3 linked regions of the Coturnix japonica genome follow. The protein of the gene in region 1 interacts with the protein of each later gene in a biochemical or structural test. Links are inferred from orthologs where the notes say so. Each region holds a gene or a part of one and is shown in the gene's direction. Other genes may lie near its edges.

Region 1 (4,177 bases):
TCTTCAAGCAGAGACTTTGATGTCAACTGCATAAGCCAAATTATAGCTCATTAGAGCAAACGGGACACTGTCTGTGGAAACTGGCAGATGTTGTATATAGCTCATTTAAATCTATTCTTTTAAATAACTCATCACAGTCCTGCAATTCTTCCTCTTGTTGTGATCTTTTCACCCTATAAGCATTTTATTGTTGTCTGAGCTTTTTATGATTCTTTAAGATTGTTATAATTCTTTCACAGCACCATTACAAAAGAGTGAACAAAACTGCACAGGACTCGGACTGGGAAGGCATCTTCAGTCTTGCTGCTGAGATTAGCAGTGGACTATGTATGTGTGCCATTGAACTAATGCACACAATCATAAAAATAACACTTTTACAAAATTACATGCTAGGATAGCTTAGAATGGCAGTGGAGCATTTATGTGCGTAACTTTTGTCTGCTTTGAGTTCAGGAGCTTCCTTATGGACAGAACAGACATGGCTGGCTGATCCTCAGACAGTAAAGATAATGTGGAGTCTGCTCAGACCTGGGTTGCTGAAGTTAGCTGAGCTCTTCTGCTTCTGAAATGAGAAGAATTTTGTTATTTTGTTGTATTGTGGTATTAGTGGCACTGCACAGAATTCAACAGAACACTTCACAAAAGGAGCTGCAGGAAATTAAGATCAACAAAAAACTTTCTTTCCAAGTATGCACGGGTAAGATTTTGCCTTAAATATAACAGAAACCTCCAGTCATACAAATGATGGTGTAGGTGTAAATCAGTGACTTAAATCAACGTAGCACCATCCTATCGATCTGCTCTGTTCCTTGTAACTTGAGAATACAACTCACTGTTAGTGTTGTTTACATGAGTTCCGTTCTAATTTAAGAGGGTTTACGGAGACAAGAGAAGCATGCAATGCAAAGCCAGACATGGGAGGAAACAAAAGGTAGTACACTAGTACTTGCTTCCGAAGGCCCAATGGTTTTCATGAGCATGGAGCTTCAAAGAAAGGGCAATGCCTTTTTTTTTTTTCAAATATCAACTGCCTGATTGTATTCGCTAAATTCCCGCCACACAACATGTGTTTTCCATTAGTTAAGTATTGCTGGCTCCTGCTAGGACCCACATACACCCTAGATGAACAACAATTTACAAGAAATCAAGCTTGAAGCTGATATGCTTTTTTTTTTCTTTCCTGGAATACATGGTGTTGCCCTCATGGTGGTGCTGTACAAATTTATCTGGAGCAAATAACACCAGAAACTTGTGCAAGAGGCCTTATGTAATCGACTCAGGACATTTGACATGTTTTGTCTCCAAACAGAAGGGAGAATAATGATTAATCTCTGCTCTTCAGCAAGGTTTAAATTGCATCAAAAAGACCAGAGGAGAGAATCCTCTCATCCACAGTTCTGCTCGCTCTTCTCCGAAGATGATACCAGTGAAGATACTCTGTGTGTTGCTCTGCCTCAACTTAGCTTGGGTATGAGTTTCCTTACTTCATTATTTCCTTACCTTGCTGATTTGAAGAGTAAGAGTTTATTTAATCTGCATGAATTAGATGCATGTTTGCTGGCACCTATCTTGTCAAATTCAGTGCACACACATACGCACAAGCCTAGTGTGACTACTTCACTGCTGCTCTTTCATGACAGCAGTTCTTGTATATCCAGTTCTGTTTTGATTAATTCAGTCTTGTTGTACCCGCCTGCCTTCTGCAAAGCAAATAACACGAATTCATAGATTCACAGGTGCTGCTGTGAGCCTTAAAGCTGGCTGAATTGGATGCTGGAGGCTCCAGACAGTCAGGAATTTTCAAGTTTATTTTAATTCTACTTTCCTTTTCTACTTCCTCAGTTTGCTTCAACTGCACTTTCTAGCTACAAATGATGCACAATGGCTTTATTATGAAATTCCGATTTGAAAACAGTGATTCTTATGGCAGCAACATCAAATTAAACTAGAATGCAAGCAAGATGACAATAGATTATGGTCTATTATATTGCAACACATAATGAAACATTTATTACCTAAGATAAGCAAGAAGAAATTTTTAGATGAGGAAAGTGATAATCATAATTTTCAACTATACTAACATATCCTTGACATTTTTTCACTTATGTTTCAGCCATTAATCTCATGTTAGTCTTCTTTACGACTGTATTTTGAAGAAAGTAAATGCTCTCACAAATTGCAGAAATTATGGGGAGCAGATCTGGCTAAACACAAGCAGTTCTGCCGGAGCTGCCAGTGCTTAAAGGGCACAGACGACCTAAAATTAAATATTTTATTTGTTATTTTAGGGGACTCTTTGGCCAAGATGAATTGAACCAATGTGAAACTGCTGAGTTAAATAATGACATTCCAGTTCCACAGGGCTGAGGTTCTGGCTCTGAAGGCTGTAATTAGGAACACTCTCTCTGCATGTGAATTAATCATACATCTTTTTTGGCATGAATTATACTGTTTGTTAAGAACGTAATGCATATGAAGAAAAACCTAGGCAGACCTAATTAGATCTCAAGCAATCTCCTTTACATTTTATGAAAAAGAATTATTTTCCAGTTCTTTACTAAGCAATAATGCAGTAAGAATCCTTACAGCATGTTGGTTTAGAATTAGCTGGTATAATTGCACTTTGGTTTCTCAGATTTCAAGAAAAATCTCAGTTCATTTATTTCTGTTCCTTCCATTAACAAAGTGCAAACCATCCATCACTGACATTATTATTTTCATTACAATGCTATTAGTATTCTTGTTCTTTATGTCAGGCAAAACAGTGCTAGGAGCTTATAGGACTAAAAACAGAAACACTAATGAATGGAAATAGTAAATTCATGCATATCTTCAAGCCAGTTTTGAGTAGGCAGAAGGAATAGGATGAAAACAAAAATTTAAGAATATGAAAGCAAGTGAAAATGGAATGAAGATGTTTCAAAGTTAACTTAAGTAACTTCAATCTAATTTCAAGCTAATTTTGCATTTACATACAAAGCTCAGGATTATCTTGTAAAGATATCATCATTATCATCATACTCTAAGCACCATCCATTCTCCATATGAGCATTAATTTTAAGAGTGGAAAAGCTTTATTCTTACAAAACAAACAAAACCATGTCTTACAAGAAACGCCTTGCCACTATTGGATGATGCATTCCACAAGGCTGCAGTGCTACTGAGTGCTTGAGGATGTCAGCTTTTCATTTCCATTTTCTTGACCAGTGCTCCAACACTCTCAGTTTTGCTCTTCTCTTTACTCCTCCCGGCAGGCTCAGGATGGGGAGACCACCTTTGAAAAGGAGGGAGCAGGTGTGCGTGGCCCCAGGATTGTGGAGCACATGCAACAGTCCTCCTGCAAGTATGAGAAGAACTGGCCGATCTGTGCGGACGATGACTGGGTGAGCAATGAGCCATAGGGACAGCAGGGCACACAAGGACCCCTGCCCTTGGTTTAGGAGGTCTGATGACAAGATGTTCAGTAAAAGCTTCCCAATGGCTGACTGAATGTCTGTGTATGAACTGTTGGTTTGTCTCTCTCTTGCCTCCTGCATCTCAACTCATATCTATGCTACATTTAGAAGATGCAATCTTGCCTAAGAGTTATAACGTATAAGAGCAGGGGATTTTCTGAGGATAATTCTGCTTAAATGAATGAGCCTAGGTCACCCTTGATCAAGCTGGATCTAACTTCCCTTTACAGCAGCCCTTTGGGAAATAAATGTGGTGAGATTATTGTTTTGCTTTTATTATTGTTGTTATTAATATTGTTATTGTTATTTTTTGTTTTGTTTAATTTTGTTTCTACTCTTAAGGAACAGAGGAAAGTGAAAATTAAAGGTTCCTTTGTCACCACTTGAAACAGGATTCTATGCATACATTTCAGCAATTCCAATGCACCAGTGTCAGAGGTGCAAGATGTGAAGGGGTCAGCCGTGAGGTGTCCTGCTCCAAGTCATACAAGCCCTTGTCAAAGTCATTGGATGGATAGGACAGAAGAAGTCACATAATACTGCCCTAAGTCATATTAGAGTGTTTTAATTGCTGGGTATTGATTTAAAAAACAAAAAGACAGATTCATGAAGATTTTAGCACAATTATTTCTCTTCCTCTTTTAGGGTATAAAATGTCCATCAGGCTGCAGAATGCAAGGATTAATTGATGACACAGACCAGGATAACAGTCACAGAATAGA
Region 2 (4,190 bases), on another chromosome or scaffold:
ACATGGGTGTGCTCCAGGGGAGTGCAGTGTGCCCTGCAGAAGCTCCCAATGGGGGAATGGTGCTGGATGGATCCAGAGGTAAAAAACACTTCTGAAGGGAGGAAGGCAGTATTTAATGTTGGTTAATCCTGAGGAAAACGGGCCATCCCAATCAGCTTTGAGAGGATCCTATGCAAAGAATTTCACCCAGAGGGTGGTAATGCACTGGAACAGGTTGCCCAAGGAGGCTGTGGATGCCCCATCCCTGCAGGCATTCAAGGCCAGGCTGGATGTGGCTCTGGGCAGCCTGGGCTGCTGGCTGGCGACCCTGCACATAGCAGGGGTTTGGAACTAGACAAGCACTGTGCTCCTTTTCAACCCAGGCCATTCTCTGATTCCATGTAAGGGTGGTGGTGGCTGGGCAGAAGCACATACCTTTATCTTTCCTGCTGCATCCCCACTTAAAGCTTATTAAGCCTCGCTAATAAGCACAGGAGAGTCGTGGCGCACACAAAAGCCAGCAGCCTGAGCACACCTCACCACCTCTCCAGGACCGCAGTGACCCGTCCCCTCCTCCAGCACCCACTCCCACCACCCACGGGGCGCTGCCCTGTGGCCACCAGCAGGCAGAGAGCGCGGATTACCTCGGGATTATCACAACCCACGGGATGTGGGATTACAAAATAAACACTGCTCGGCCGAAGGAAGCAGCGCACAGCGTTCCGCCCTGACTTTGCAGCGGTTCGGGGCTGAGCTCGAGGGGAGCCACCGTGCCCACCCTGCAACCCCGCAATGACGGAGCAGAACCGCCGCTCCCAGCACGGCCCGCAACGCGTGCAACACTTTGCAACGTTATTGCAGACTCCCCTCTCCGTCACCGCTCGTTATTATCATCATCTTCTTTAAAATTCTATTTTGCAAACCTTCGTGGAACAGACGCCCTCTCCTTGCTCCGCTTGGAGCTGCAGTAGAATGAGGGGTTGGCGGGGGTGGGGTGGGTAAGAGGGAGGAGAGGAGGAGAAGGAAAAAAAACACTTTTGGTTGAGGTTTTCTGTTACTATCACTGTAGCGTTATTTAGCCAATCTCCGAACTGTGACGTGAGGAAGGCAGGAATCATGGCTCGCTCATAATATTTAACACACCCACTGGAAATCTGGAGCTGCAGAGCTACCCTCCACCCGTCTCCAGAACCCAGTGTGGCTGAAAGAGTTTTCACTCTGCACCTGCCATGCAGCTCTCCCCCCTCTCCCCCCCTCCCCCCCTCCCTTCCTCTCTTCTCTTCTCTAAAGGCAGATCTGTAGGACCCAGCAGAGATCAAAGACGGGACCTCTTTGCTATATAGAACCGCTAACCGAATTCTATTAGTTTCTTTCCCTAATCCTTCCCCTCCCCCCCCCCCCCCTCGTTTCTTTCTTTCCCTGTGCCATATTTAACCTTTATGTTGCAGTTGTGCCATCCGACAGTTTTGCAGCCAAAAAAAACCCAACCCACGCCAAGGCAAGCCCAGTTCGGATACAGGCAGCCACACCGGCTGGATCTCAGCTGAGCGCTCATCTCTCCCGAGCGGCGGACAAAGCGATGGATGAAGGAACTGGAACCGCTCGGAGAAAATGATTTTGCAGCCAATGTTCTTAAGCAGTCTCACAGAAGAGAAGGGAGCGAGCGGAGAGCGCTTCTGCTGCATCACTGGCACATTGAAAAGGAAGGAGTCAGCGTTTCCTGCACTGCCAAACGTTATGGATGTTTTTTTTTCCTTCTGTCGCTGCCGTACAGGTTTCTTCTTAATATTCTTTCTCCCTCTCCTCCTCCCGTCATTTTTTGAACGATTATGATTTAATCGCAGCCAACGCCAGACGCCTTTCTTCTCCAGAACCAGCTCTCCTTATTTGTTGTGATCCCCGTAATAAAAAAGCGAGAGAAACCGCGAACAGATGGCTCTAGATATCGCAGTGCCGCTGCCTTTGTTTTCCTACCGATTTTAAAGGCTCCTTTTTCGATTATTATTATTTTTTTTTTCCCCGATTCCTTCCCCCCCTCCCCCCCCGCCCTCCCCCCTCCCAAGTTCTTGATGATACTGAGAAATGAGGACCTATCGCTTTTAGCCTCTTTCTGTCGCGGCGCCTATGGAGATAACTTTATTGACTTGATCGCTCGCTGCTCGACCCGCCAGGAGAGCGCCGGAGCCCCGGGGGGGGCGGAAGACCCGCTCCCGCTGCCGGCCGACCCCGCCGCCTCCCCTCCCTCCCTCCCCCGCTAATTCATCAGCCGCTCCCGGCCATGAAAATGCTCCTGGTCCGCAAGTTCCGGGTGCTGATCCTCATGGTGTTCCTCGTCGCCTGCACCATGCACATCATGATCGACCTGCTGCCTCGCCTGGAGCGCCGCGGTGCCGAGGGCCGCCCGGGCTGCTCCTGCCCTCCGCCCGCCGCGCCGCCCCGCGCCGCCCCGCGCTGGCCCAGCAAACACACGCTGCGGATCCTGCAGGACTTCAGCGCCGAGCCGGCCTCCAACCTCTCCTCGCAGTCGCGGGAGGCGGCGGAGCGGGCGGCGGGCGGCGGAGGGGACGCGGCGGCGGCGGCGGCGGCGGGCGGGGACGGGGGGGCGGCGGGGCGGCCTCGGCGGCTCATCGCGCCCGGAGCCCCGCGCCCGCCGCCCCCCGCCCAAGCCGCGCCGTTGGCCGCCCTCTTCCAGCACCCGCTGTACCGCGCCGCCCTGCCCCCGCTGACCGACGGCGACCTCCTCTTCAATGTCAACAGCGACATCAGGTTCAACCCGCGGGCGGCCGAGCAGAGCGAGTGGTGAGGATCGGGGAAGTGGGGGGGGAGGAGGGGGCGCGGGGTCGGGGCGGAACGCGGCGCGGTGCTGCCCTGCTGAGCTGCCTTTTTCCGGGGGTGTTCCCGAAGAATTGGGTGTCACGGCTCGGGGTGAAAGGGAGGGATTCGGGCTTCAGGGGTATGAGAAATGGAGCGGAACCGTCTGCAGACGTCAGCCGTTGTCTTCCTTCCAAATTAGCCCCGAAATACGGGACGTAACGCGGCAGTGTCGGGAGCAGAGGGTCCCCGGGATGCTGCCTGCAGCTGCAGCCAGAGGCAGATGCTAGCAGAGAAACAGTGGGAGGCCAGGCTCAGACACAGCACAACCCCCTTGCCCTGCACCTTCTCATTTGCAGGGGCTGAGCAGTCCGTCCCGCCACCAACAGCCTCACTTTTCTCTAAAGTAAGGTCTAATGTCACAAAGTTCTGTCTTCAGGCTTTGATCGGTGCTCCAGTTTTCATCCTCAATTAATTCCCAGTGTCCTGGCACCTCCGCAGCCCTCCAGCCTTCAGAGTGCTCTATTGCCTCTGCGAATGGTTTGTTGGCTGGTGGGAAACGCTGGGAAATCTCAATGAGTGAGAAATCCAAAGGCTTGTCTAATCCAACAGCACCCTCTTCCAAACACACTGACATTGTAGTGTTTAAACAGCTGCATTGTACCGAGCAAAAGCTCTGTGAAGCTGCAGAGCTTCCAATGGGATCCGAACATTCAGACGGAGAGGACAGATATCTCTGATTTCTACCCCCTGCACATGTCAGTGGTCCAGGCCCTTCTGCTTAACAGAAGCATCTGTGAAGGGAAATAACTGACAAAGTTCTGGTTTCCTTGAGAATAAAAGACCAATGGCAGAACATGGAATGATGGCTAAAAGCATGGGAGGCTTTGGGGTGGGAGAAGTGTGGCTGTGTCACATAGGTGGAGGGCAAAGCTGTCCCTAATGGCCATAATGCAGCTGCTGCTGTGTGTTTTCCCCCCAAGTTCCCCGAGCAAACATGAAATGTAGCATTCACATGTTGTTCTCACAGTCCTTTTCCATATCAGTATGGTGCTGCTAAGGAAGGGGCGACCCACCCCAAGTTTCTCTTTAGCAGCAGGTTCAGCTGAGCTGGTTTCTTCTTATTCTTCCTGATTAAAAGGAAGGAGGGGGAACATTGGGTCCAACAGGTCAGCTTTCTGCTGCACTGACTTCCAGCCCCAGCTCTGTTAAATAAAACTTGAGGACGATGCTTTGCTTTGGGTCCAACTTGTAAGAGATGTTTGCAACATGATGCAGTCTAAACACAACGTAAACCCTGCAGCTCCACATTTCGGCTGTATAAGGGCCTCTGTGAGCTCCTGGTTATGTCACTGTCAGTTTAGCTCCTGTCTTTCATGGGCTTCAAATAAGGCATGAAG
Region 3 (3,647 bases), on another chromosome or scaffold:
CGTTTTACCTCAGCAAGAATAAGTTATTTTGCTCAGCAATGTGTTTTCCGTGAATCTCTAAAAGGATTCCCTTTCTCCAATTACAGCCATTTGCACAGACAGTTCATCTGGACAAATATACCAGCACAGGGGGAGCTGGCTGAGACTCTCAGGGAGCAGAATAGAATATTGTAGGTGTGACAGTGGTCGGAGTTACTGCCACACTGTGCCCATCAGAGGTGAGTATGAAGAAAAAGAATGGAAAGGGTGGGAGATAACAGACTATCCATTTAATCATCCTAAAGAAAAACTCCATTGTCAGGGAAGGAGCGATCACAAAAAACTTGGCTTGAAATGAAAGCATCAGTATACACTGACTCAGGCAGTACTAAGGAGGAATGGGCAAGAGGCTGAGAAAAGCTTATGATACCATTAATGGAAAGAATGGAGCAAAGGAAGAGTCGAACATGATATACACATATTAGGGGAAAGCAGAACAGGCTGAAGGAGACCAGCAGGAGGAGGGGGGCATGTTGCCAGCTGCTTACTTCTGTGAATTCTAACTGTTTCCTGGCTTTTGTTTATTCCACAGCCTGCACTAGAAATAAATGCTACAATGGGGGCCAGTGTTCACAGGCATATTACTCCCCACAGCTCTTCATCTGCCAGTGTCACCACGGTTTCTCTGGGAAGCAGTGTGAAATAGGCAAGTATGCTGCTCCAGTTATTGGGAACAACACTGCTGGTTTTAGCTGTGTGGTGCAGAAGGATTAGGTACTTAGAAACCACTGCTGTATGGAGGTCTCTCCACTAAGCTGCCTCTTTTTGTGGTAAAGCTAATGCTACAAACAAGTTTAGAAAAGGACACGTGGGTTTCTCTGTGTCTCATGAGGCCTCAGGTGGGAAACTGCATCCAGATCTGGGGCCCCCAGCACAATAACGATGTAGAAACATTGGAGTGAGTCTAGAGGAGGACCACAAAGATGAGTAGAGGGTTGGGGCACCTCTCCTAAAAACACAGGACAAGAGCATTGAGTTTGTTCAGCGTGGAGAAGAAAAGGCTCCGTGGACACCTCATTGCAGCCCTCCAGTACTTTATAGGAGCTTCCAGTACTGTCAGGAGGGAGACAGACTTTTTATACTGACTAATAACAATAGGGCAAGGATGGTTTTAAACTAGAAGAGAGAAGGCTTAGATTAGATGTCAGGGGGATATTTTTCATTCAGAAAGTGGTGAGGTGCTGGAATACGTTGCCCAGAGAAGGTGTGGATGTCCTGTCCCTGGAGATGTTTAAGGCCAAGATGTATGGGGCCTGTGCAGCCTGATCTAGTGCTTGATTTAGTGGCTGGCAACCCTGTCCACAGCAGGGGGGCTGGAACTAGATGGTCTTTAAGGTCCCTTCCAACTCAAGCTACTCCATGGTTCTCTGTCCTCTTAATAAAATACTAAGTTTTGAAGACAAAGACATTCATGTATATGCAGAGCTTGCTTGGAAAGATATTGCCCTGACTTACAAGGCATCTGGAGCTAACTTTAAACAGAGCACAGTCAGAGAAAGCAGAATTTGTGATGCTGTTTTTTGTTCCCTTTTGCTCAGATACTGAAGCTAAGTGCTACAAAAATGCTGGAGTAACATACAGGGGTACATGGAGCATAACAGAGAGTGGAGCTGAATGCCTGAATTGGATCATCAGTGGCTTGATGGACCGTAAATACAGTGGCCAAAGAAAGGATGCTGCTGAGCTGGGGTTGGGCAATCACAACTATTGCAGGTGAGGGGCTCACAGCACACATTAGAGCTGTAAGAATCTGATTATTTCAAGAGCTTAGGGCAAAAAAGGCTATTTGTAAAAGCTTAGTACCAACCATAGAACACTGCGTACAGGTGCAAACATGTCCAAGAGCAGCAACTGATAGATTTCTATTTCTGAACCATCTAAGAGTGGATGTTTGACAGACTACAAAGATGCACGCCTCTCTCACTCCATAGCCTTTCCCTTGTGCCCACTGCTTCCTTCTTAGTGTTAAAAACTCCTGTTACAAGCCAGTTTCCTGTCACATTTGCCTGTAGCTCTAGACACTCCTTAAAACTCTACAATGCAGAGCTTCCTGCACGTGATCTAAACTGCACAAACAAGCTATCCACTCTTGCTACTGGCCATCTCATCCTCACCTCCATGCTTTTCTAACTAAAATAAGAATACAGATTACTTCTGCAGGTTCAGTTCACCCCTTCACTGCTAAGCACAATCAAGTTACCAAACTAGATGGCACACCTGAGACTAGTAATTATAGCTTTATAATGATGCATAATGTCATAACTCTTTCAGAAACCCAGATGAGGACTCCAGACCTTGGTGCTACATCTACAAAGGGGGAAAGTACACCTGGGAACACTGCAGTGTGCCCTCCTGTTCAAAAGGTACATGCAGGAGGACAGAGAATGGGCTTTAGATATATAGTGAGTCATAGCAGCTCTAAGAGTTATCTGTGTCTTTGTGAAAATCAACAGTTAACATATTCTTATGTTAAATCATGTTTAAGGTTTTAATATTTACTACAGAGCCTGAGAGAAGTATAGCTAGTATATAGAAGTCTTGACAGAAATCACAATTGGAGCAGCTGATGGTTCACATGCGCCATGTAACATATGCAGTTTTCTTATTTAAGTTGGAAACATCAATTGCAAAACTGGAAGAGGCACAGATTACCGAGGTAGTCACAGTGTTACCAGTTCTGGAGCTACCTGTCTGAGGTGGAATTCTCTAATCATTGTCAGCAAGTTATATACTGCTTGGAGAAGAGATGCTTACCAGCTGGGCCTTGGCAGTCACAATTTCTGCAGGTATGTATTCAGTGGTACAGTGAACTTAAAAACAAACAGTAAGTTTCCTTGTGGTAATGTTGAGGCAGGGCTCTAGTTGTTTACATGAGTTACAAAACACAGTAAGGATGTTATGGCTGGGAATCAAACTCACTGCTAATGGTAATTTTCATTCCACTTGGTCTGCCTATACTTCTCTAACACCATAAATGAAAATTTAACATGCCCTCTGTGTCACTAAAAAGATCAAAAGGAGTACACTCAGAACCCCATCTGCTGTCCTTAAGTGTCTCCTTCTCGCTAAACTCTGCAGATCTGACAATACAAGTTTTTCTTCTCCTTCCTGTACTGCAGGAATCCTGACAACGACAGCAAGCCCTGGTGCCACGTACTAAAAGGAAAACAGCTCACATGGGAGTACTGCGATGTGCCTACTTGCTGTAAGGATCCCAGCACTCCTGATGCTGCTCTTTCTTCTGTACTGTATGTTGGAAGCCTCTTATAGCAAAATAAGTGATGGGGAAAACAAGCTCCTTAGGATAAAAAGGGATTCTGTAGCTCAGCTGTCACAGAAGTACCTTCTCTGCCCCCGAGGAGATGATCACAGAACGAGGAAATAGGAAAGACAGGGTTTCTTTAATGTGTTTTTCAAATCAATATAAGTTTCCTAGGAAACAGGAATGAGTCAGATACCGAGCAGTTCATGCAAGGCTGCCTCAGTATGCATTGATAGCCAGCAGGCTCTTAACCTTAACTTAATGCAAGAGTCCCTGAACAAAAAAGATATTTCTGTGTTTGTCACCTACAGCCACCTGTGGTCTACGGCAGCGGAGAACACGCCAG

The links.
Region 2: of the proteins of FGA (region 1) and FAM20C, one has a biochemical effect on the other in vitro, tested with the Homo sapiens proteins (2 studies listed by IntAct). The link is inferred for Coturnix japonica from reciprocal best matches to the Homo sapiens genes FGA and FAM20C.
Region 3: the proteins of FGA (region 1) and PLAT form a complex in vitro, tested with the Homo sapiens proteins (2 studies listed by BioGRID). The link is inferred for Coturnix japonica from reciprocal best matches to the Homo sapiens genes FGA and PLAT.

What each region holds. Positions count from the first base shown.
Region 1 is NC_029519.1:18,074,461-18,078,637, reverse strand, and holds the start of FGA (fibrinogen alpha chain), read left to right. Parts: upstream 1-1,361; 5' UTR 1,362-1,417; coding exon 1,418-1,468; intron 1,469-3,254; coding exon 3,255-3,383; intron 3,384-4,100; coding exon 4,101-4,177. UniProt on the Homo sapiens protein: Cleaved by the protease thrombin to yield monomers which, together with fibrinogen beta (FGB) and fibrinogen gamma (FGG), polymerize to form an insoluble fibrin matrix. Fibrin has a major function in hemostasis as one of the primary components of blood clots.
Region 2 is NC_029529.1:1,831,673-1,835,862, forward strand, and holds the start of FAM20C (extracellular serine/threonine protein kinase FAM20C), read left to right. Parts: upstream 1-1,246; 5' UTR 1,247-2,257; coding exon 2,258-2,778; intron 2,779-4,190. UniProt on the Homo sapiens protein: Golgi serine/threonine protein kinase that phosphorylates secretory pathway proteins within Ser-x-Glu/pSer motifs and plays a key role in biomineralization of bones and teeth.
Region 3 is NC_029537.1:4,078,691-4,082,337, reverse strand, and holds part of PLAT (tissue-type plasminogen activator), read left to right. Parts: intron 1-86; coding exon 87-218; intron 219-571; coding exon 572-685; intron 686-1,577; coding exon 1,578-1,752; intron 1,753-2,310; coding exon 2,311-2,402; intron 2,403-2,650; coding exon 2,651-2,825; intron 2,826-3,158; coding exon 3,159-3,244; intron 3,245-3,612; coding exon 3,613-3,647. UniProt on the Homo sapiens protein: Converts the abundant, but inactive, zymogen plasminogen to plasmin by hydrolyzing a single Arg-Val bond in plasminogen.